3 linked regions of the Lonchura striata genome follow. The protein of the gene in region 1 purifies or fractionates together with the protein of each later gene. This does not show direct contact. Links are inferred from orthologs where the notes say so. Each region holds a gene or a part of one and is shown in the gene's direction. Other genes may lie near its edges.

Evidence for each region. The genes of interacting proteins can lie anywhere in the genome.
Region 2: the proteins of RIOK1 (region 1) and COPRS purify together in Homo sapiens (affinity purification with mass spectrometry; 3 studies listed by BioGRID and IntAct, with this or other methods). This does not show direct contact. The link is inferred for Lonchura striata from reciprocal best matches to the Homo sapiens genes RIOK1 and COPRS.
Region 3: the proteins of RIOK1 (region 1) and CLNS1A purify together in Homo sapiens (affinity purification with mass spectrometry; 3 studies listed by BioGRID and IntAct, with this or other methods). This does not show direct contact. The link is inferred for Lonchura striata from reciprocal best matches to the Homo sapiens genes RIOK1 and CLNS1A.

The regions. Positions count from the first base shown.
Region 1 is NC_134603.1:93,196,182-93,203,135, reverse strand, and holds the start of RIOK1 (serine/threonine-protein kinase RIO1), read left to right. Parts: upstream 1-3,935; 5' UTR 3,936-4,023; coding exon 4,024-4,094; intron 4,095-4,933; coding exon 4,934-5,138; intron 5,139-6,643; coding exon 6,644-6,734; intron 6,735-6,954. UniProt on the Homo sapiens protein: Involved in the final steps of cytoplasmic maturation of the 40S ribosomal subunit. Involved in processing of 18S-E pre-rRNA to the mature 18S rRNA. Required for the recycling of NOB1 and PNO1 from the late 40S precursor.
Region 2 is NC_134621.1:8,030,481-8,038,004, reverse strand, and holds COPRS (coordinator of PRMT5 and differentiation stimulator), read left to right. Parts: upstream 1-4,509; coding exon 4,510-4,594; intron 4,595-5,084; coding exon 5,085-5,336; intron 5,337-7,353; coding exon 7,354-7,523; downstream 7,524-7,524. Other genes in the region: UTP6 (U3 small nucleolar RNA-associated protein 6 homolog), read left to right, coding at 117-197, 916-1,025, 1,108-1,174, 1,457-1,529, 2,101-2,258. UniProt on the Homo sapiens protein: Histone-binding protein required for histone H4 methyltransferase activity of PRMT5.
Region 3 is NC_134604.1:32,435,838-32,443,699, reverse strand, and holds the start of CLNS1A (methylosome subunit pICln), read left to right. Parts: upstream 1-4,847; 5' UTR 4,848-4,930; coding exon 4,931-5,049; intron 5,050-7,593; coding exon 7,594-7,730; intron 7,731-7,862. UniProt on the Homo sapiens protein: Involved in both the assembly of spliceosomal snRNPs and the methylation of Sm proteins.

The DNA.
Region 1 (6,954 bases):
AAGACAAAGAAAGAAGGCAAAAAACATGTTTGAAATGCTACTGAGTTAGTCTGTCAAAAGAAGACTATACTTTTTTTTACTGAATTTCCTAGATATATAATAAATTTAGCAATGAACAGGAGCCAAGTTTGATGCACCACATTTAAATGATTTGGTTTACTTTTTTTTTTATTACACCACCTGTAACTGAAAAAAAAAAAAAGAAAACTATAAAAAAATAAAAAGCATTTTAGAGTGGTGGAAACCATCTGAGAGTACTTCCTCTTTTGTTGTAGTGCATTCCACTGCTCTTTATACCTATTTTCACTTCTCTGTTTGACTGTGTCAGGCCTGGTATGTGCACTATGTTCTCATGGAAAGAATAAGATTATATACTCATGTTATTCTCTCTCCAATTGTTTGGAGGCTATGTTTGTTGTCCAGTGGCTGCCTACCAAAAGCATGTAATTTGTAACTTCTTTAATTTTGAATTTTAATTTAATTTTAAATTAAATTTAGTTTTAAATTTATAATAACTGTAATTAAACATAATTTAAATATTAATTAAAATTTTAAATAATGTGTAATCAGAATAGGAACTGCAATGCAAATGCATTATTCCCTAAATTCATTACTTAGTTAATTCTAGGAACAACTCCAGCACCTGCATTTGGTATTCTTAGCACTTCTCTTTTATGTTATACATCTGTGAGGCCTGGCACTTACATATAAAATTTTGCAATATAAGTGCAAAAAAACTACTACTACTAATTTTATCAGAGAAGGGTATTTTCATCATTCAAGCCTCCATGGAATCTTACCATGGCTTCTTCTGGAAAGAAAGTATTGCTAGCTGAGTTCAAATTATCTTCCCCAGGAAGCTTTTTCTCAGTATCAAAACCTGAGAATGTCTTGAATAGAGAGACAGAGGGTTGAGGGAGAAAATGAGACATGTCTGTTATGGAGGCTACATTAATAATACAGTCCAGCACTGACTCCACATTTCTGCAAATGGCTCTTCATGAGGACCTACAACGGGCTTAATTGATAATTATTCTGGCAATGAAACATCTCCCAGGCTCCTGCATTCTCTTTTAGTATTGTTTTCTTTTTGCCAGCCCAACATTCTCCTTTGATGTGGTTGTTCTTCCTTGCCTAGGGGTTCCTTCTCTGGGAAAAAAATGTATCCACACCCAAAGACTGCTTCCAATCGACTATGCAGAAAGGTATGTTGGTTCTACAACAAGTGTTTCTATGACTTTGGAACTCTGTAGTTTTCTGAGAGGAATTAAGTTTTCCACAGTGTTTTCAGAGAATATTCATGGAGAAGATACAGCTGAGGAAAATAGGTATTTTGCTTGGAACTTAATGAATGCATCACTTGGCCTCCTCAGTGTGTATCCTTTTTCATCACGAGTCCTCTATTAAAAATATGATGGAACTACATTAATGTTCACAGCAGTATTCAAATATCATATTAGCTAATTTCTCTTTTATATATATGTGTGCCTATTCCATTTAAACCAATGTCTTGTATAAAGTGAAAATATATCCTAGAATATTGGAATATCAATCATACTGCATGAGACAGAGAAGATCCTGGTCACTTGTTGCGTTGCTGTAATAACTGCTCAGGACATAGCCATTTTCAGATAGGTTTTTGTATAAATCACCTAACAGTCCCTTGACCATGCTTTGTTCCCCCTTCTCTTGTTTCTCCATGCTCTGTACAGTCCATATTGTTCATGTGCTTCACTCATGCCATGGCAGTAAGAGCTGACCTCAAAATCTAACAAAGTCTGTTGATTTAAACAGGTTTTGCACCAGCTAAAGTTCTGTCAGACAGCACTGTGAACCACCAAGTACAGTGTGGCATACTTTGGCAGGGGAGGGGAGTGTGTTAGATAAATGTCACTAAAACTTGCTCATCCTAGCACATGGCACTTGAAATCCCTCTCGTTTAGCCTCACCAACAAGAACATACTGCTGTCAGATTTTCCAAGATGGGCTCAGAAGCACAGGTTGCTTCACAGAGCTGGCAAGCAGCATCTTTTCTTGCCACTGAGTTGTACATTTCATCCTGCAAATATGAAAAGGAAGCTCTTGATGCTCCTCTCAAGTCAGTCTTCTTCCAGGAAGGAGCAACACTGCAGTTCTCCCAGTGATTCTGAGTATGGTCTCAGCAGTTTCCCAGCTTCAGTGTGAACAGAATATATACCTGTCCTACATAATATGTTAAGTACAGAATTAGTGCATCTTTGAGTGTGAACAAACATTTTTTTACACTCAGTCTTCAGGAAATATAACAATGTAGCCACAAGAAGAGTAAGAGAGGTAGTATTTCTTTTGGAGTCTCATGTGACATGGAGCTACAGTGGTCCAAGGGAAATGCATGGTCTGATAGAGGTCTGTCCTCCCATGGATTAGGGGTGATAACTGGTAGATCTCTGACACTTTTATCATTCTCCTTCTGAAAGTATCACCATTGCTAGTGGACTGTTTCCCTTTACCCTGTTGAAGATGAATTGCTTGTAGAACAGTTTGTGCCTGCTTCCAAAGGAGCTCTTAAAACCTGGGACAAAAATTGTGTGCTGCACTCTAAGGCTGTCAAAAAAGCTTTGCAGAAGCCTGAAGGAATAAAAATGAGTGTGGAAATCCTCTGGCAGTATTATGTTTCCAACAGTCTCTTGTCATTACAATAAATGGACATATTTACTTAAGAGCACTGAATAATTTATTAGAGTGAAATAATCCTGTAGAACAGTATCTATGCACATGGATTAACCCACATGGATTAAGAGTCCTTCAACACCTGGTTCTAAAAGAAAGATCAGTAAACAGGTGATCTTAATCCAATTTCTGTTGTAGGTGGCTGTGCATTAGGGAAAATGAGCACAGAGACTCAAAGAACTGATTTTATGGTAGTGTTGCAGATGCAAATGACACCTATTGTATTAAATCTCTTTTAAAGGTGTCTCTACACAAGCATGCATGTTTTCTGCACAATCACAGTTTTTCCATAGCTTTTATACATACCACTTGGATAATGCAAAAACATCTACAAAAAAGAGACTGCATTTTAAAATGTAGTCATGTACCAGATAGCAAAAGCCCAGCACTCACTTTTATTTTCCTAATCCTACATTATGTCGGTATGTAAACAGAATATAATGTTATTCAATGCAAGGAGTGTTAGGAGCTAAGATGCTTCTAGCCAGGCCTGCAAATTTGGAATTCCTTTGGCTTCAATTAGAGCTTTATTTTAATAAAGATTGGAATTTAATATTTTAGAGTATACCAAATAAAACTTCTCAGTATCTACTGCATAGGACACAGATCATCACTTGTGTTTTAGGGAAAACAACCATGAATCTGTGGCAGGAATGGTCATTCCCAGTCAAGAATTGAGGGCTTGAAAACGCACTGTTTTTAAGGTTATATTATTGAATATTATAGAGATGTGCCACAGCTCATTGTTGACGTATCGGCAGCTGCCAGGGATTCAGAGAATCCCAGAATGGTTTGGGTCGGAAGGGACATTAAAGTTCATTTAGTTCCATCCCCCTGCCGTGGACAGGGACACCTCCACTAGCCCAGCTCGCTCCGAGCCCGGTCCGGCCTGGAACACTTCCAGGGATGGAGCATGCACAGATCCTCTGGGCACCTGTTCCAGAGCCGCACCACCCTCACATGGAAGAACTTTTTACCGCCATTTAATCTAACCCTACTCTCTTTCAGGGTGAAGCCATTCCCCACTGCAAGCCCTTGTAAAAGTCCCTCCGTGTGCCGGCTCCGGGCCCGCCCTGCGCAGGAGCCCGGCAAGCGGACGGGAATGAGAACGGGGTCGGGATCGGGAAAGGGAATGGGAAAGGGAACGGGAATGGGAACGGGAGCGGAAGCGGCGCTGGGGCGGGTCCGTGCCGGCCGCGCTCGCCCGCGCTGCTTTTGTCCCTCTGGCGGCGCCGTAGCGGCCGGGCCGGCGCCTGCGTCCCGCGGGCATCCCGGCTGCCGGATCCTCCCGGCTCCCGGCTCCCGGCTCCCGCCATGGATTACCGAGCGCTGGTGATGAGCCAGGTCGTGCCCGGGCAGTTCGACGATGCGGACTGCTCGGACAGGTGAGGGCGCGCCGAGGGGCCGGGGCTGCGGGCGCTGGGGCTGCGGGCCAGGCGAACGCGCGGAGCAGCCCCGGGATTTGCCCGGGATGTGACTTCGCCCTGGGCGGCGGGGAAGGGAGAGCGGGTGGTGCTGCCGCGTTACCGGAGGAGGTGAGAGGGAAGGCTGCGTGTGTCTCTCGGCTTCCCTTTTCCATTTCCCGTGCTGCTTTCGGACACTTGTCCTGGCAGAAAGCCGTGACACGTTATTGACGTTACAGAATCGCAGCATCAATTAGGTTGGAAAAGACCTCAGAGATCATCGAGGCCAAGCTGTGAGCCAGCACCACCGTGGCACTGAGTAACAAGTCCAGTCTTTCCTTAAACATCTGCAGGGACGGTGACTCCACCAGCTCCCTGGGCAATCCATTCCAATGTCTAACCACCCTTGCTGTGGAGAAATTCTTCCAAATTCTCCTGGTGCAACTTTGGGCCGTGTCCTCCTTTCCTGTCACTTGTTGCCTGGGAGAAGAGACCGACCGCACCTGGCCACAGCCTCCTTGCAGGCAGCTTTAGGGAGCGATCAGGTCCCCCCTGAGCCTCCTCTTCTCCAGGCTAAACACCCTCAGCTCCCTCAGTTGCTCCTCGTAGGACTTGTGCTCCAGAACCTTCACCAGCTTAATTTCCCTTTCCTAGACCTGATCCAGCACCTCAATATCCTTCCTGAATAGAAGGCCTCAGAACTGGACTCAGTGAATTAAGATCCAACTGAAAATTTAGTCATTTATGGGGATAAGTGTATTGAATTTTTGGTGACTGTAACAATAATTTTTAGTTATAGAGACATCTGTGTTTCTTTTAAGTGACTCTGTGGAAGACACAGAATCATGTAAAGAGGGTGAGGTCCCTGAGAGCTGCCAGTTATGCACGTGTGAAGAAGTTAATGCTGAAGAAGGAGATGGTGATGATAACAGTGATGCTGAAGAGGATGATGAAGACTGGGACTGGGATGATGAGGTGGGAAGACTCACAAAGCGCCACAATGCTGCTGGTGGATGCAATCCACAGGTATGCTGGAGGTCATTCTGTGGGCTTTGAGGGTGCCCAAGAGGTAATGGGGCCAGCCCGGAGGCTTTGTTTTTTGTTAGTGTTATGCTGAGTACAGATGCAAACAGCTCAGTGTTTTTTCAGAATTTTTTCCTTGAGAGAATCCCCTTCCTTTGCATCTGTTCCTCTGAGGTGCTGTATGTGTATGTACATTGTAGCCGGAGCTCAGTTTGATTTTCTTGTCTCAAACCCTGTTGCTGGATTCTCTGTGTCTGTCTCTACTGCAGTTTCCTTCTCTTCCCTACCTTCCTCAACTTCTCTTTCTTTGCTCACCCTGATCTCTACCAATGTTCCTAACTTTTTGGTATTTGTCCTCTGTGTTTCTGAGCATCTTCCTCAGCCTATTTATTTTTAGACTATCTGCTAATCACATGCAGGGTGAATCTAGTCCTATTTTTGACTTAATAGTGAAGAAGGCGAAGAAAACTACAAGCATGCGAAATGGAGCTGGGGGTGCTTGGAGTGAATTCATTTAGCATGTATGGTGTTGGCATAGAAACTCTGGCATGTTGCACTACAACACAAAATAACTTATACACAGTTCTAAGATCAAAAGAGTAAGAGGAAGTAAGTTTTATTTCTGACTTTGCAATATATAGAATTCCAAAAGTGACAGTGGATTGGAGGAAGAAATTGCCACCTCTCCAACCACACTAGTCAAACCAACAGTCTGTCAATTCTCTCTTCCCACAAAGAATGCAAAACAATCATTATTTACATGACAGTGCATGAGAAACTCCAGTAGAAATATGTAAACATCAGAAGGCATAGAAAACTTCTAAAAGAACTTTAAAATTTTTGAAAGAGCAGGGTGACACTGGCGTTGTGCAGAATAAAAAGCACTCATGAATGTAAAGAAGGATGCTAGTTCTCACATCAACTTGGACACTACAGGTTCAAAACCTCATTTTTCTTATTGCTACCAACTTAGTAGAACAGTAGAGATGAATCAGAGTGGTGCTGATCACAGCATAGCATGTCTGGCAGTGCTTGTCCTGGGTGGTATATTGCCTTTATTTAGAGGTTTATGCTGTTCAATGATGGTGAAATCATGTTCAGGTATTAGTTGTGTTTGGGGAGGACCACATGTAAGAAAAGACAAAATCATGGAAAGTTTTCTCAGTTCATTACCTCTGCATTTTTTCCTTACTTTATTTCTTTAGATTTTCTATTCTCTTCCTTTTACAGACAGAAAAAGTGCTCTGTGAGAGACTTGTAGCTTCCTAGACTAAAAGATTACTCTGGTGGAGGACTTTTAGAATTTTAACTGATGTGTAACTTGTATTTTCTTTTCTTGATTTAAATAAAATCTGGTGTTAATCCATATCTGTTTCCTTATATCTCATGTGCTTTTCATCTTACAGCTTTAGGCATAGGCATTTGAGATGACTTTTCCAATGAAATGGTTTGAATTAAAAAGGGCTGTGTACAGAACATGACTTATGTTAACAAATCCTTTATTTCAGGCAAATAGGCAGACACTTAATTGCTCTTCAGCAAAACTGTCAACCCCTGCAGGCAAGGTTTTAAGAAAATTTGAACACAAAATCAATTTAGGTGAGTATAATTGCACTATTGTCCATTATTTAAACAGTTGCCACTCTGTGGCATTCTCAGACTAATTTCACTCATGTTAAGCCAGAACTCACTGGAATGGGTGAGTTAGCCATTGCCGGAGAGATTAAAAATGGCTTTTGAGTACTTGAAGTTGCCTTTAGTCTCCAAGAACTGGGTGTCATACCCCCCCCCTCCACCTTCAGAACTACATGGCTGTTTT
Region 2 (7,524 bases), on another chromosome or scaffold:
CTGTGTCCAAAGGCTGTTTTTTATGGCAGGTAGTACAGAACCTGATGGCTGTGTTGCTGTCTGTTTCTGTAAGTCAGTCACTGTATTTCTGCTATGATTGTTTGCTGACCTTGTAGGGCACTTTGCCATTGTGGACCCTCTGGGTGGAGTGGAGTGAGAGCACAAACAGCAAGGAAGACACTGAAGCTCTCTACCAGGTACTTAGCTAATCGAAATCTACTTTTATGTCTTTGTCAATAACGTGAAACAATGTGTGTGGATGGAACATGCAACAAATGCTTTCTCCTGAAGTTTGTTCATGTGTGTATTGATGTCAAAGAATTTAAAGCAAAACTACGTGCATTAAAAAAACCAGTTGGTCATAGACTTACAGGCACAAGTGTCATTCCCATGTCCTAAGGAATATGGATGTTTGTAAGCACAGCCAATGATGGACTCCTACTTTGTGGTCTAGAATATTTGCTCTGTTTTCAGATACCTATCTGAGCACAGAAAAGAGAATTTTCCAGTTTTTGTGAAAACATCAGTCTTGTTACAGAAAAGTCAAGATCAGAATGAGGACTTTAATCTCTCTATGGATTTCGTCAGTAGTGTAGGACAAAACATTTTCTCTTTGCCTGGCTTATTGGGTTGTGTTTCTTCCTCCCAGTTGCCACATAAAACATGTACTTCAGGTGGAAGCTTGAATTCAGTTGTTTGTAGAGTACTGTGAAACCCTTTGCAATAAGGGGTTTAAGGAAATGTCAGTTCCAGCCATATAGAATACTGGAGGAGAAATGTGTTTTAGATTTAGGAGATCTCCTTTGTGTCAGATGCCTAACTAGGGAGAAGCACTAATTGAGCTATTTAATTGTAGGTTATGTGATAGGTTTACTTTTTGTTTATTTTGTTTTTTTTTTCCTTTTAAACTTGCAGAGATCCTTACGTGCCACAACACCTGCTGAATCTGTGACTATGAAAGAAAGGTACCTTGACTGGACTTACAGAAATAGTGGTTATAAGAAAGTTAAAAGACTCTTTACCAGGTAAAAAAAATACCTTCAAACCTGATTATTCTAGGGTATATGTTAGAAGTCCTTAAATCTAAAGTAACTTATTTTATTTCAGCCTGTGTGAAGATCGTCCATTTTCACTTGACTTCTTCAGGAAGATGATCCAAATAGAAAAGGAGCAAGTAAGTTCTTGACTATCCAATTAATGCTTTGTATTTGTAAAGTACAGTTCTAACCTGGGATTTAAATAGGAAGCAGAGTGGTGGTGTTAGTCTGTGATCAGTTCATGTTTGTCCTCTGCACTTGATTCACAGGATGTGATACAAACCCAAGTTCCATAGTAACTAATCTTCAGCAGTGTGTGCATGTAATTGCCATTACTCTCTTTCTTTGTCACAGTCGAATCATGCTGCAGATTCACTTCTGTACAAAATAAGTGGCCTTTTAATACCTTCCTTTTTTAGGAATCCTGCAGAATGCTTCATCTGAGAGAATATTATGAACGTGCCTTGAGGGAGTTTGGCTCAACAAATACTGGTGAGGGAGATTCTGGTTTTTATTATTTATTCATTCATTCACTGCTGCCTCTTTTATTCCCACCCATTTTAAAATGTACCTGTTTGTTCTGCTCTTGTGCTTGCTGTCATGCAGATTGGAGCTTATTTCTTCTGTGCCATTAAGAGTAGGACACTGCAGGGACCCTCTCCCCTGTCATCCCAGGATCACTGACACTGGGATGGCTTCAGCACAATTAGGAGCAAATCACATTCAGACACTGGCTGGCATAAGAGATGTGTATCATTTTAAATTTGGATTTATGAACAGTATGGAGCTATATATTTATAATCAAGATTTCTGCAGTATTAATTTGAAGAAGGTACGCAGCACAATTATTGTTGCATTATTTCTTCAGACATTACTGTTCCAGTTGGAATATAGAACCCAGGATTTTTGCTCCTCAAGGTGCCAGAGATTTTAGTCTTACAAAGTAAACTGTACTGCATTAATATTAGAGACACTTAGAAAAAGAGTTTCTAGTGAGTCTTGATATGCTTGTTAAGTAATATCTGGTCAAAATCTAAACAGAACTTTCATTTTCCTTTTAAAGACCTCTGGCTGGATTATATCAAGGAGGAGCTAAGTCATCCCCAAGGCAAACCAGAAAACTGTGGGAGCATTCACTGGCGAGCTATGAAGATGTTGCAGGGAGATCTGGTGGAAGATTTTGTTTCTAAATACACTTTATTACAAACTGGACATTTATGAAAAACTATACATAGTTATAACATGACTGCATTTTTTAACTTCTTTGTACAAAGGTAAATACGTTCCTGGACTTTATTAAAGTTTACCTTTACATTTTATGTGACAAAAAAGACTCATCTTCTCTGTTGCAGTAATTTCTTTCTAGTGTTGATTCTGCCAGGGGCAGGTTCAAGTGCACAGTCAGAGGAAGCAAACCCCTGAGGGTGTTTTCATCAAGACTTCTAAAGAGCAAACTTTTGATCCTGCTTAAACATTCAGATAGTTGTAGTGCATCAGTTTTTACACTTTGGAAAGCTAATATTACAGCACCCAAATGCAAAAAACCCAAACCAAACCCCATGGAAACTACACCTGTGGGTCATATTTTTATTGTAGGAAGCTGAATCATAAAAAGTGGAACACTTTTCATTAGGTAATCAGAAATCAGTAAAATTACAATGTTTATTGCTTCTTAGCGTAGAACTAATCTGTAATCCTCATGACAAAAAGAAACAGCCTCTGCAGCTCCCTTGCATTGGTGTTTGCATCTTGAGAGTGATGAAGGGTAGAGGGGAGCTGAGATCTGTTAGCCATGTCCTTGAGGTGAGAGGGGAAAGCTCTGATCTACACTTCCAATTTTCTGTCCACCATGCCTAAAAAACGTGTAATGTTTTTTAAAAGGGTGCTGTCCTTGGCTGTTTACAGAGCCACAAACCTGAGAAATCACCATAAATGATCAACTGAGAAATGTAGGGAAAGTACAAAAATATTAAACAAGTGTTCCTTTGTGCAATTTCCCAGTGACTGAAGGGTGACATAATTATAAGACAGGGAAATATTTATTGATTTTACACTCAAGTAGAAATTGCAGCTCCTCTCAAGCAATGAATCCCAGTAACTTAACTAGCTGGAAATAAAGTTTGGAGCAGCAGTTTGGTAAGATTCTTCTGTTACCAGATCTGAAGTACATTCTGCTTTTGTGTTTCCCACACTTTTAGCCAGGCCATCTCCTATATCCCTGCTAGTTCGCTTCCACCTCATTGTCTGACATTGAGATTTCCTTATTGAGAATCTCTTACACCCTCCCTGCCCCTTATGCTCTTACTCCCTCTCTGAACCACTTCTTGCTTCGTCAGTTGCTCAACTAAAAGTTTTTAAGTGCAAAGTCTGGAGTTTTAAAGTCCAACAAAGCTGGTAACTCCATCATTTCAGAAAGTGGGCCCTTTTCTGTCAGCTGTTCTGGTTCCTCACAGAACTTTGCCATTCTCCCCAGGGCAACATGCCCTGCAAGCACACGTGCTTGAAACCTGCCACAGCTGTCCAGCCAAGGTGCTTCCCGTCTCTTCGTGTTCTGAGCATGCTGCTACCACGAGGCCGGAAGGAAATTGTTATTTTTCGACAAGGGGGAAAGTCCGCCCAGCCATGAGAGACATCGATACTTTATTTACAACTTCACAAGTAAAAAAGTGCTTTCTCAGAGCTCTTACGCCTGTATTTGCCTCGGTTGGATGGCGGTGTTGGGCCATGGTTGCACTAGACGATCTCGGAGGACTTTCCGTCGGAATCGTGTCTGTGATTCCGAAGCTGGGCGCGGTGGGCTCCGCAGCCGGGGCGCTGCGGGCGGCGTTGCGGGCACCGAGGCCGGGCCGGGAGCGGCCGCGCCGTGCCTGCAGCCTCCGCCCGGTGCCGCAGCGATCCCGCCCGCCGGCGCTGCCGATGGAGCCCCGGGGCCGGGCCGCGGGCCCCGCTCCCAAGGTTCGGGGGTCCCGGGGAGAGCGAGGGGGCGGCGGGGCCGCCGTGAGGGCTCGTCCGGGGTCCGCGCCCTGCCCGCACCGCCTCCTTGTCGCGCTGGGAGTGAGGGCAGCTCGCTGTGCCCTTCCCGCACAGGCGCTGAGGGTCTCCTGCTCGCCACGCATCGCGTCCAGCCCCTCAGGGCTGTCGGAGGGTCCCGCAGGGCGGCTGGCTCAGTGTTGGCGCTTCCTCCACTCCTCGTGTGGCGATTACCCCTGTGCTGCCCGCGGTGCTGCCCTCCCGGAGGGGCACGGTGTGGGCCGGGGCTGTGCGTGAGGAGACGGGCTGTTCTGAGGGTGAGCGATGGCAGCAGCAGAATTAGCTGTAGCTCTGCAGGCTCACCTTCTGAAGTGAAAGCCAGTTTGTTGTTAAACCTGTGATTCATCAAGGGAACAAATGGAGACGCTCGGGAGCACACGGGGTAGCAGTTTGGTGAGCAATCAGAGCTGCTACTGCATTCTTTAAAAATGTCTCGTAGGTGATGGCTGCCGCCTCTGGGGCTGCAAACTCTGAGGGGGAACAGCTTCCTAATAAGACAGAAACCATGATCGGGAAGCCCAGAAAAGGTAGGACAAAACAAAGGAGGTCGTGAATATTGAAACTTGTGCACTACTTGAGAAATCTACCGAAAACCTTTTGGTGATTCTTGGGAAATGCTCTTTACTTACTGCACTAAATTATTTCCATGTAGCTATTTGGTACATGAGTAATTAATCAATATGACTTTTTTTTAAAAAAACAGAACTTTTTTTAAAATACCTACAGGTGAATGTGATGAAACAAGACTGTTGTGTCCTTTGCCCTAGTTTACAGAGTTATTTTCCAACAAGAGTCTGTGGAAAATCCTGATTTGTGCTGGTGTTGTGGTGCAAGGCTATGTCCACTCTTTCCAATCATCTGAAATGTGAAGCACCTCTGTAGTGATATTACATATCTGGGAAACTGCATGTATTACAATAAGAGTAGTAGTCACAAAGTGCATTTTTGTACCTCTCTGAACTCTTAATTGTTGTTTAATTTCTGAATGTATCTGTTGGTGCTTTCTACTGGTTTTAGAATGTTTTCTGCAGAATATTCCAAATGTTCCTGATGGCAAGTCTGAAGAAAGTGAATCTGCTTCTACCTCCCCCAATGAAGATGATGTCAGTGGCTCTACTAATGAGGGCTGGTACAATATATATGCTGACCTGGATGTGTGGGATAGTGAAGTTTCTAATGTGCCTGAGTCTTCAGGGCAGCAGGATGCATCTGAGCATGAGGTGGAGGACTGGGATAAAGAATTGGAGGAGTCTACATGTGGTCCTTACGGTGAGTACACGTTTACTTGTGCTTCATTTGAGTTTTGGATAGTTGGAGGCAGGTGCTTTGCAGGAGAATGTGTTTAAGTAACTCCAAGTTTTATTTTGGGAAGCAATTTCTCGTTATGTTGACCTCCTGGATGTGTAATGAACAATTTTGTTGTCAAATACAGGATTTAAAGGTGGTGTTGTGCATTTCACATGGAACTCTTGCTTGAGCAATTGAATTCCTAGGGAGTGGCATGGTAAGGAGGTGAATTCCATGCTTGTGCTGAGTTTTTCTGGTGAAGCAAGTTTTCAGTGGTGTATCTTTGTTATTTTGAAGCAGAAGAGAAAGGTACATGGCATGCAGGAACTAACTTTTTTGTGTAAAAGTTATTCAAGAAAATTCAAGATTGTTAATTATAATGTCTTTCTAGAGCATGGAGGTGTTTGGAACAGTGCTCAGTCTCTGAGTATGGCTTATGTTTACTGTAGTTTTTTTTTTTATTATTTTTTGGTGGTTTTTTTGGTTTGTTTGTTTGTTTGACTTTGGTTTTGTTGAAGCTTGATCCTCCTAAGTGGTTGTGCACATGACCAGTCCCATGGACAAAAGTGGCAACAAATAAGAGTGTCGCTCAAACATTTAGAGTTGAATTATTCCTCCAGTTTGTAACTTGTTTTTATGGTGACTCACATATGAAAAAGTCTCCATTGGCCAGGCTGGTTCTTAGCACAGAACGGGTGGGATGGGGTTTAGCCAGCAGTGGCTGATAACCTGCTGTGTCTTTCTTGATGCAGAATAGCACCATTTCCATTTTTTCTTCTCATTAATGTGTATCTTTTTGTAATTAAGATAATTTTCTTTGCTTAGGAAATATGTTCATTTTAATCTCATAATTAGAATAAACTTTTGTATTTTAATTCCATTTATTTCCATTTAAATTCCATCTATTTCCATTACCATTGTTTGGTAATGGAAGAAAGTGAGAAAGATTTTCATGCTTTCTGTGAAACCACTCTTGATTTTAAAATGGAAATATAGTATTGGTTTTGCACAGTGGGTAATTTGAGGAAAAGATTGTTCCCTTTTTGGAGGTTTTCCCTCTCTTCCATTCGGAGCTTTCATTTTAATCACTTATATGGTCAAATTTATGGAATGTTTTGAATTTTGTACTGGAACTGTTCCTCTTTTTCCCCCTTTATTTAACTTGCTCATCCCACCTGTAGCTCTTTAAATCCTCACAAACTAAGGCAGCTGTGTTTATTGGATTCGGGTCCTTCTGAAGGATACTAAATACGAGCGAGCATCTGAGTTGTTAACTGCTACAAATAGGAAAATGTACTTGGTTGGTCACTTCATGGCTTTTTAAGTGTCTTAAGCTCTTGCTGTGATGACTTGTTTGGCAGTGCTGCTGGAAGGCTGACATGTGGGATATTGTGTTGGGTCCTCCATGCTCTGGGCTTTTTCTTTGCTCAGTGTCTGCTGGCAAATCTTTATGCTTCTGTTAAAATACTTCGACCTATTTTTTGCTAGATTGGTTAAATACAGGCCCATTAGGCTTAATTCTAGCCTAGTGGAAATACTGTTCTAAGACAGCTTTTACAGGACCCCACCCTCCCATTCTGTCCAGCAACCCAGCTCTTAGAGGGTTTGGAGGACTCCTCATTGGGATGGTGTTATGAAAGCAGCAGGAAGGGGGAAGGCAAATAAAATTGATAGTTTCATGAGTCTTTTATTCCCAGGGAAGATGGGAAAAAATTGTATGTCTTGTAAGAGCTGGTGCCAGACATTCTAAGTCCCAGGAATATCAGTGAGCTTTCTGGAAAACTGTTTTGTGTGGCATGAACCTTCCTTAAAATGAAGACATTGCCAAAGTCAGTTTTCTGTTTGGCTTTTTTAAAGGTCTAATTCATAAGTGCTGTCAGATCAAATAAAAATAGTGAACTGGAAGATGCCATAGACCTCCATAATAACCTGCTACACTATTTCCACTACTTTCCTGAGTATCTCCCATGGTTTAAACCTTTTATTTTATCTTCTTTAGATGCTGACGATCTCTCCTGTGGAAGCTTTGAGGAAAATAATCTTTTCGGCTCATATGTATGGAAGGAGGATTGGTTTTACAACCCAGGCTGTCACCACGCACCGTGCTTTGTTTTTCCACCGCGAGTTAGAGCAGTTGAGAAGGGCCAGTTTGATGATGCTGATGAATGAG
Region 3 (7,862 bases), on another chromosome or scaffold:
CACTGGTAATATCACGTGCATGTAAAACATGCTGCGTTAAAACTTTTTTAAATGGAAATCATGGTGGCATAGTGCTCAAAGGGTTAACTGCAGTTTATTAACAGCTAATGTTTTTAGATTTGCAGTACACAACTGTTTAAATACTGTATTCCTTGTAAATGAAGTAAGAAAAAATGTTAAGGCTGGTGCCAATATTTTTGTTAATGAATTGTTCAGCGTTGTCTCTCACTACAGTCTGGTCAGAACTCTTTGTGTATAAGCTGGGCCTGAAGCCATTTTATAGCTTGTAGGCCTAATTGTGTAACTTTTCTTTCATAATGGTTTTGTTATAATATCTACTGTCATTTCTTTCATATAAATATGACATGTAAATTGTCATAATAAAAAAAAATTGAAATAACTTGATGTACAAAGTATAATGTGTATTGCAGATACAAGTGCTTTTTAATGAGCGTTACACATGCACATACCCTTTTTAGTTTTAGAGCAAGCACTGAGTAATGGCTGCTGTGTATTGTTCCAGCCCGTGATGGTGCTACTGTCTGCCATGGGAATGGGCAACTCCTGGTTTATGTTGGTTTTGTTATGGCAGCTCAACTGACAGAACATTCCTTTCTTTGAGCAGCTCTGGCTGATGGTGGGGAAGACCTGATGGATTTGTTTTTGCAGTCACTATGGTTTTCTCTGTGTGCTCCATCTTTTTATATACTTTTTATATCTCATCTCCTAGAGATTTTGCGGTCATTTGACAAAAACCAGTGTGCCTGCAGCCAGCCCTGTACCCAGGAAGGCTGTGCCAGCAGACAGCCATGAGGTGTTCATGTGGTGCTCCTGACAGGTTCATTTATTTAGGTTGAGATGTGTAAAACTTGGAAAAGTTGGGGGAAAAAATGGAAATCTGCAGAGACACACTGAAGAAACAGATGTTCTGACACATGGCAATGGACATGGATGATTTTCAGGACTTCAACAGGAGAAAGTCAGGGAGAAATAAACAAATTGAAGAAGAGAGTGGCTTTTCTGTGTGAATTGCTGAAGCCTGTCAGTCTTTATTTTGAATGTATCTGTGGCTACAGTCAAGCTGCTGTGTGTTTTTGTGTGATGAGAAATTGTTGTGAAATTCATCCTTTTGCTCCAAATCCACTGCCAAAACTTTACACTTCCATTTTTAACAGATTCTGGGCATCTAAGTCTGAACTGGCCACCTTATGGCAGGCAGTGCTGTGGAGAGAAACAAGCTCCTCTGGATGGTGGCTCCTGCCTTCTGTGCTAAGGTGACAAGGTACCTGCTGCTCTCCATTGCCTCCGAACACAGCCCTGGTTAACTAAATCACTGTTGGACACCCAGTGTTCAGACAGCACTGGGGCTGGATCCGAATTCATTTCTTAAAGCTCTTAGAGCCGAAGGAGGGTTTTCAGGTAATGCCATTCTGTTCCATTCTAACTTAGAGGAAACATCTGCCTTCCCTCTCTAAGCTTCTCGTAGGTGCAGCACTCAGTACTCTGGTGTGAAGTGTCTGGATTGTGTAAATAAGGAAGATGTGGGTTTCTCCTCCTCTTTTAATGCCTCATCCTCAAAACCAGTTTTCTGCCTGGGCTTAAACTATCCCTTTCCCCACTTTTTTGGAAGAGTGGTGTGTCACAGAAGACTTGCATTTGCATGCAGGAAGAGAAATAAACTCCGTATTACTCCACTGCAGCAACTTCAACCAGCAGTAATCCAACCCCAACCACTCAGAAATTTTAATTTATAACAACCTAAAGTTGTTCTTTACTTTGGAGTTAACTACAAAGGTGGTGAGAACTCTCTGTGGCTGATATGACAACCACATTAGGTAAGAGGGGCTGAACATCAACAGGAGCATTGCTTTATAGCCCCTAAGTGCAGTGAATGGTATTTCCATGTATTTGGATCTCTTCCCACCAGCTGCCATAGTCTGATCTGTGTTCTTGGATGAACTGCAAATTTTTGTTTCCAGTTGACCACTTGTCTTGGTGTGGCAAACTTGAAAATTATTGATAACTTCCCCTTTTCTCATCTCCTGTTGCCTCTGTTGGTTTTTTCAAGCTATTCCAGCAGTGCTTACATATCACTTCACTGTGAAATTTGCTTTCATTTTGGTCTAGGTAATTATTTGTATGAGTAACAATTATTTGCGTTATTATTTGTGTAATTAAAATCCAAAATGGGTAGGCATGGTTGGCCAGCTTTCCAAAACATTGTCAATACCTCAGACTAAGAGAACCATGTTATGTTCTGGTCTTTGCTATCCAAGACCATAGATAGGAAAGTCCAGAGAAAGGAAAGATGGAGACCTAGTCTCATTAATTGGCTCATGTTTGTGAGAACCTGCGTTTGCACACAGGTAGCTAAATTACTCCTAAAAAGTAAATTTTAAACTGATTAAAGGGAAGGTTAACTCCCATGACAAGCTAACAACTTGCTTTTGATATGTTGCTATGGCAGGAGCATTTGCCATCCTGACAAGTAGAGAGAATGGATGTTTGCATTGATGCTGTCTCACTGATGGCATTAGCAGAAGCATCCCCTGGCAGAGATGTACTTCACTGATGCATCAGTAATCGCTGTTTCTCACTGCAGTAGCAAGAGAAATGGGGTAAATCCAGGGAAGAAGCAGGACCAGTGCTCATGAAGGGGTGGCAGCCTTCCCATCCCTGAAATGTGCTGTCCTGCAACACCGCCCGCTCGCCAGGTCCTGCAGTAGTGTCAGGTGCTGACCCCAATTCATCACTGCTGAGAAAATCAACTGGATACCCTTTAAGCAATTCAGGTACTTGTGATTTTCTTTTTCTTCTCCATGTGCATATATGAGACGTTAGGTGGTGGTCACCCACCAGAATTTCCCCTTCCAGCATCCAACAATGGTAATTGTGAATCTGCTGTATTTCTTTGTTATTGTTATCTTTCCCTCTGTCACCTGGGCAATGAGACTTACAGGTTAAAATAGGTATGGCAGAGATCAAGAAGCATTTGGAAAAAGCTCTCAAGCACAAGGTGTGATTGTTGTGGTGTCCTGTGCAGGGCTGGCAGATGGACTGGATGATCAATGTGGGTCCCTTCCAATTCAGGATACTCAATGGTTCTGTGACTGCTCTTGGTGCTGTCGATTATAGAATCTGAACGTTTTGGGTTGGAAGGGACATTAAAGACATGTTTCAACCATCTTGTTCCAAACCCCCTGCTGTGGGCAGGGACAGCTTCCACTAGATCAGATTGCTCAGAGCCCCATCCAACCTGTCCTTGAACACTTCCAGGGATGGGGCAGCCACACCTTCTCTGGGCAACCTGTGCCAGTGCCTCACCACCCTCACAGGGAAGAATTCCTTCACAGTATCTAATCTCACTCCGCCCTCTGTCAATTTGAATCTCTTTCCCCTTGTCCAAAGTCCCTCTCCAGCTTTCTTGTATCCCCTTTAGGTCCTGGAAGGAGCTGTACGGTCTCCCTGGAGCCTCCTCTTCGGAGAACATCTCTCAGCCTGTCTCCACAGCAGAGGCGCTCCAGCCCTCAGCGGTCACCTCAGCGCTGCCCTTGGCTCCTCTTTTCCACTCAAAGACGACCTCACTCGGACCCGCCCGCGGCACCCCGAGCCGCGGCCGCACCGGGCCCCGCGGAACGGGAGCGGAGCCGTGTCATCCCGGGGCGGAGCCGTGACATCCCGGGCGGAGCCGTGTCATCCCGGGGCGGAGCCGTGACATCCCGGGCGGAGCCGTGACATCCCGGGGCGGAGCCGTGACATCCCGGGGCGGAGCCGCGGCATCCCGGGGCGGAGCCGTGACATCCCGGGGCGGAGCCGTGGCGTCCCGGGCGGAGCCGTGACATCCCGGGGCGGTGCCATCGCATCCCGGGCGGAGCCGTGACATCCCGGGGCGGTGCCATCGCATCCCGGGCGGAGCCGTGACATCCCGGGCGGAGCCGTGGCGTCCCGGGGCGGAGCCGTGACATCCCGGGGCGGTGCCATGGCATCCCGGGGCGGAGCTGTGGCGTCCCGGGGCGGAGCCGTGACATCCCGGGGCGGTGCCATGGCGTCCCGGGGCGGTGCCATCGCGCCCCGGGCGGAGCCGTGGCGTCCCGGGCGGAGCCGTGGCATCCCGGGGCGGAGCCGTGACATCCCGGGGCGGAGCCGTGACATCCCGGGGCGGTGCCATGGCGTCCCGGGGCGGTGCCGTGACATCCCGGGGCGGAGCCGTGGCGTCCCGGGCGGAGCCGTGGCGTCCCGGGCGGAGCCGTGGCATCCCGGGGCGGAGCCGCGGCATCCCGGGGCGGAGCCGTGACATCCCGGGGCGGAGCCGTGGCGTCCCGGGCGGAGCCGTGACATCCCGGGGCGGTGCCATCGCATCCCGGGCGGAGCCGTGACATCCCGGGCGGAGCCGTGGCGTCCCGGGGCGGTGCCATGGCGTCCCGGGGCGGAGCCGTGGCGTCCCGGGCGGAGCCGTGGCGTCCCGGGGCGGTGCCATCGCGTCCCGGGCGGAGCCGCGGCGCCCCGGGGCGGAGCCGTGGCGTCCCGGGCGGAGCCGTGGCGTCCCGGGCGGAGCCGTGACATCCCGGGGCGGAGCCGCGGCGCCCCGGGCGGAGCCGTGGCGTCCCGGGCGGAGCCATCGCGTCCCGGGCGGAGCCGTGACATCCCGGGGCGGAGCCGTGGCGTCCCGGGCGGAGCCGTGGCGTCCCGGGCGGAGCCGTGACATCCCGGGGCGGAGCCGCGGCGCCCCGGGCGGAGCCGTGGCGTCCCGGGCGGAGCCGTGACATCCCGGGGCGGAGCCGTGACATCCCGGGGCGGAGCCGTGGCATCCCGGGGCGGAGCCATCGCGTCCCGGGCGGAGCCGCGGCGGCCCGGGCGGAACGGCATCACGGAGCGGCGCGTTCCGCTTCCGGCGGCCGCGGCGGTGCAGCAGGGCGGCGGCGGCGGCGCCATGAGCTTCCTCAAGCGCTTCCCGCCGCCGTCCGACGGCGTCCGCCACCAGCAGCCGGACACGGAGGCGCTGCTGGCGGGGCGCAGCCTGGGCTCCGGCACGCTGTACATCGCCGAGAGGTGCGGGGACACCGGGCCGGGAGCCCTCGGGCGCTGCCCCGGCCCTGAGGCCCCGGGATGTGGGGGAGGCCTCGGGGGCTGCGGGGCTCTGCGGGGCGTCCCGCGGCTCCGCTCGCTTTAAAGCAGGCAAGAGGCAGCGGTACCCGCTGGCTGGGGCATCCAGGGCCGGGCTGGATGGGGCTTGGAGCGACCTGGTCTAGTGGGAGGTGTCCCTGGCCAAGGCAGGGGCTTGGAACGACAGGGCTGTAAGGTTCCTCCCCACCAAACCGTTTTGTAAAACTCAGCATGGTGGAGAAATGTGCACTTGCAGCCCTGAAAGCCAGTTGTGTCCTGGGCCACAGCAAAAGCAGCGTGGCAGCTGGGCAAGAGAGGGAATTCTGCCCCACGGCTTTTGTGAGACTCCACCTGGAGCGCTCTATCCAGCACGGGAATCGCCAGCTAAAAGGACCTGGAAAGCTTGGAGCAAGCCCAGCAGACACCACACAGTTGATGAGGGGACTGGAGCACCTCTTCTGTGAAGACGGGCTGAGAAAGTTGTGTGGGGACCTCATGGCAACCTCCCAGTATCAGAATGGGCACGCGGGGAGGGCACAGAGGGGCTCTTTGACAGGAACTGTAGTGACAGGACAAGGAGGAATGGCTTCAGACTGAAAAAGAGCGCTAGATTGGTTTTTAGGAGAAAATTCCTTACTGTGAGCAGGGTGAGACCCTGGCACAGGTGGCCCAAAGAAACATTGCATGTCCCATTCTTGGAAGTGTTCAAGGCCAGGTTGGTTGTGGCTCCGAGCATCCTGGTGTACTGGAAGGTGTCCCTGCCCAAGGTAATGGATTGGAACTAGATGATCTTTCAGGTCTTTTCCAACCCAAACCATTCTATAATTAAAACCATGGCAACTCTCCTCTTTTAACAGGGGAGTAGACGGGGCTGGTTGGTTTCTGCTTTTAAGAACTACTCTGGTTCTGTGAAGTCTTTCATGTTGCATTAATCACATGGAGACTGTTTTTACCAGGCAGGAATTAGTCTAGTTATTCTGAAAGATGTTATCTGAGCTCTTTATGGTCTCCTTTCAGTTCTCCCTGCATTTTATAGCTCAGGGGGACAGCTTGATAATTAAAACCATGTAATTTTCTTTAACCATGGAAAAGTACTCATAATAGATTCTGTAACTGAAGAGCATTGTTGGAACAAAAACATAATTTAAAATGTGCACTTTTAAAAACCTCAGACTAGGAAACTTTTATGAAATGGCCATTATTGTTGGAGGAGCTTTTGCCCCATCAGAGCTTATTAATGCTGTGTTGGAGAGGAATCTCTCTGCATATTTGTTCACTGTTTTATTTAGTTTGGTTACAGCTACCAGGACTTCTGTTTGTGGGGTATCTGCTCTGAGGATGTATAATGTTGTGTTTCCTTGTAAGTTGCTTTCAGTAGACTTTAGTGTGAGGCGACTGCAGGTCTGCTAGTTTCCATGTATTTCAGTTGCACCACAGAGGTTTCACTAGAGTCTCTTGTTGGGATGAACAGAAAACACCAGTGTTTGCAGAAGTGCCATGGGAGAACAGGGTATCCAGGAGCATAATGTGGCTCTTGATCCATGTAGTGACTCTCCACCAGCAGCTGTAAACATTGAGGACTGGATAGTTGAGGCTAGGAAATAAACTCCTTGCTCCCACTGTACTAGCTTTTGCTCTCAGCCAGATTTTCTAATACCAGGAGTCTTCTGTGAGCTTTCCATTGGTTTTGTTCCACCACAAAAGCTTGTGAATGCTGAGTTTTGCACATGGTGGAGGTCTTGCTTTCTGGCACTGAGTATTTCTGTTCACTGTGTGACATCATTGATTACAGGCACCCAAATCTAGTTTGAGTTTGATTTCTCAGTATGTAGAAAGATGTTGATTGTTCTGATATGAAGGAGGCAGCATCCTGGGGGTGACAACCTGTGCTGTCCCATGCTGTGGTTAGGGATGACAGCAAAAATGGGGAAAGCAGAGGCTATAGCACATAAATTGTGACTGGAGGAATACCCATAACCTGGCTCTGCTGATCACAGAACTGGCTGTTTTCTGTCTACAGGCTATACCCACATCAGATCTATAATTCCCTAGGAATTATTATGTCACTGACTTGCCTTTCGGTGTTCTTTGTTTTCCTCTTTGGAAAACCACATTTAATAGCTTGAATTACAAATCATCTGAACCTCTGTAGTTGACTTTGGAATGCTAGATACCTGCAGGGAGAAGAAAATGGAGACGCAGGGAGGAAAATTCAGCATTTAGTGCAAATGAGATAAAGTTGTGATGGGTTTAGAGTTCTTAGCTTCACATTCTTTCAGCAAAGGTGTCTTTTACCTCAGCCATCAATTAATGCGGTTGCAAAGACCTGTTCAGGCAGGTCCAGGACCGTGTATGCCTGCAGAGTGGGCCAAGTGCCTTGTCCACAATTACTCATGTTTTGGGGGTGGTTTGCTTTTCTGCAAGCTTGAATCAGATACTGTCCTCCGTTAATTTCTAACTTTCTAAATTCCTCTTTTCCTCCCTCATTAGTCGCTTATCCTGGCTGGAAAACTCCGGAGTTGGCTTCTCCTTGGATTACCCCACTATAAGTTTGCACGCCGTCTCCAGGGACCCGAGTGCCTACCCAAGGGAGCATTTATACGTCATGGTGAACGCCAAGTTCGAAGGTAAGGAGTGTTGCTTGCTGCTCCCACACAGTCCTGGGTGACAGGATTTCCTCCTCAGTAGGAGGAAATGTTGGTTTTAAGTAATTGCTTGTATTTTCTTTTTTATTTTCCTGAAGGATAGTTACTGTAGAA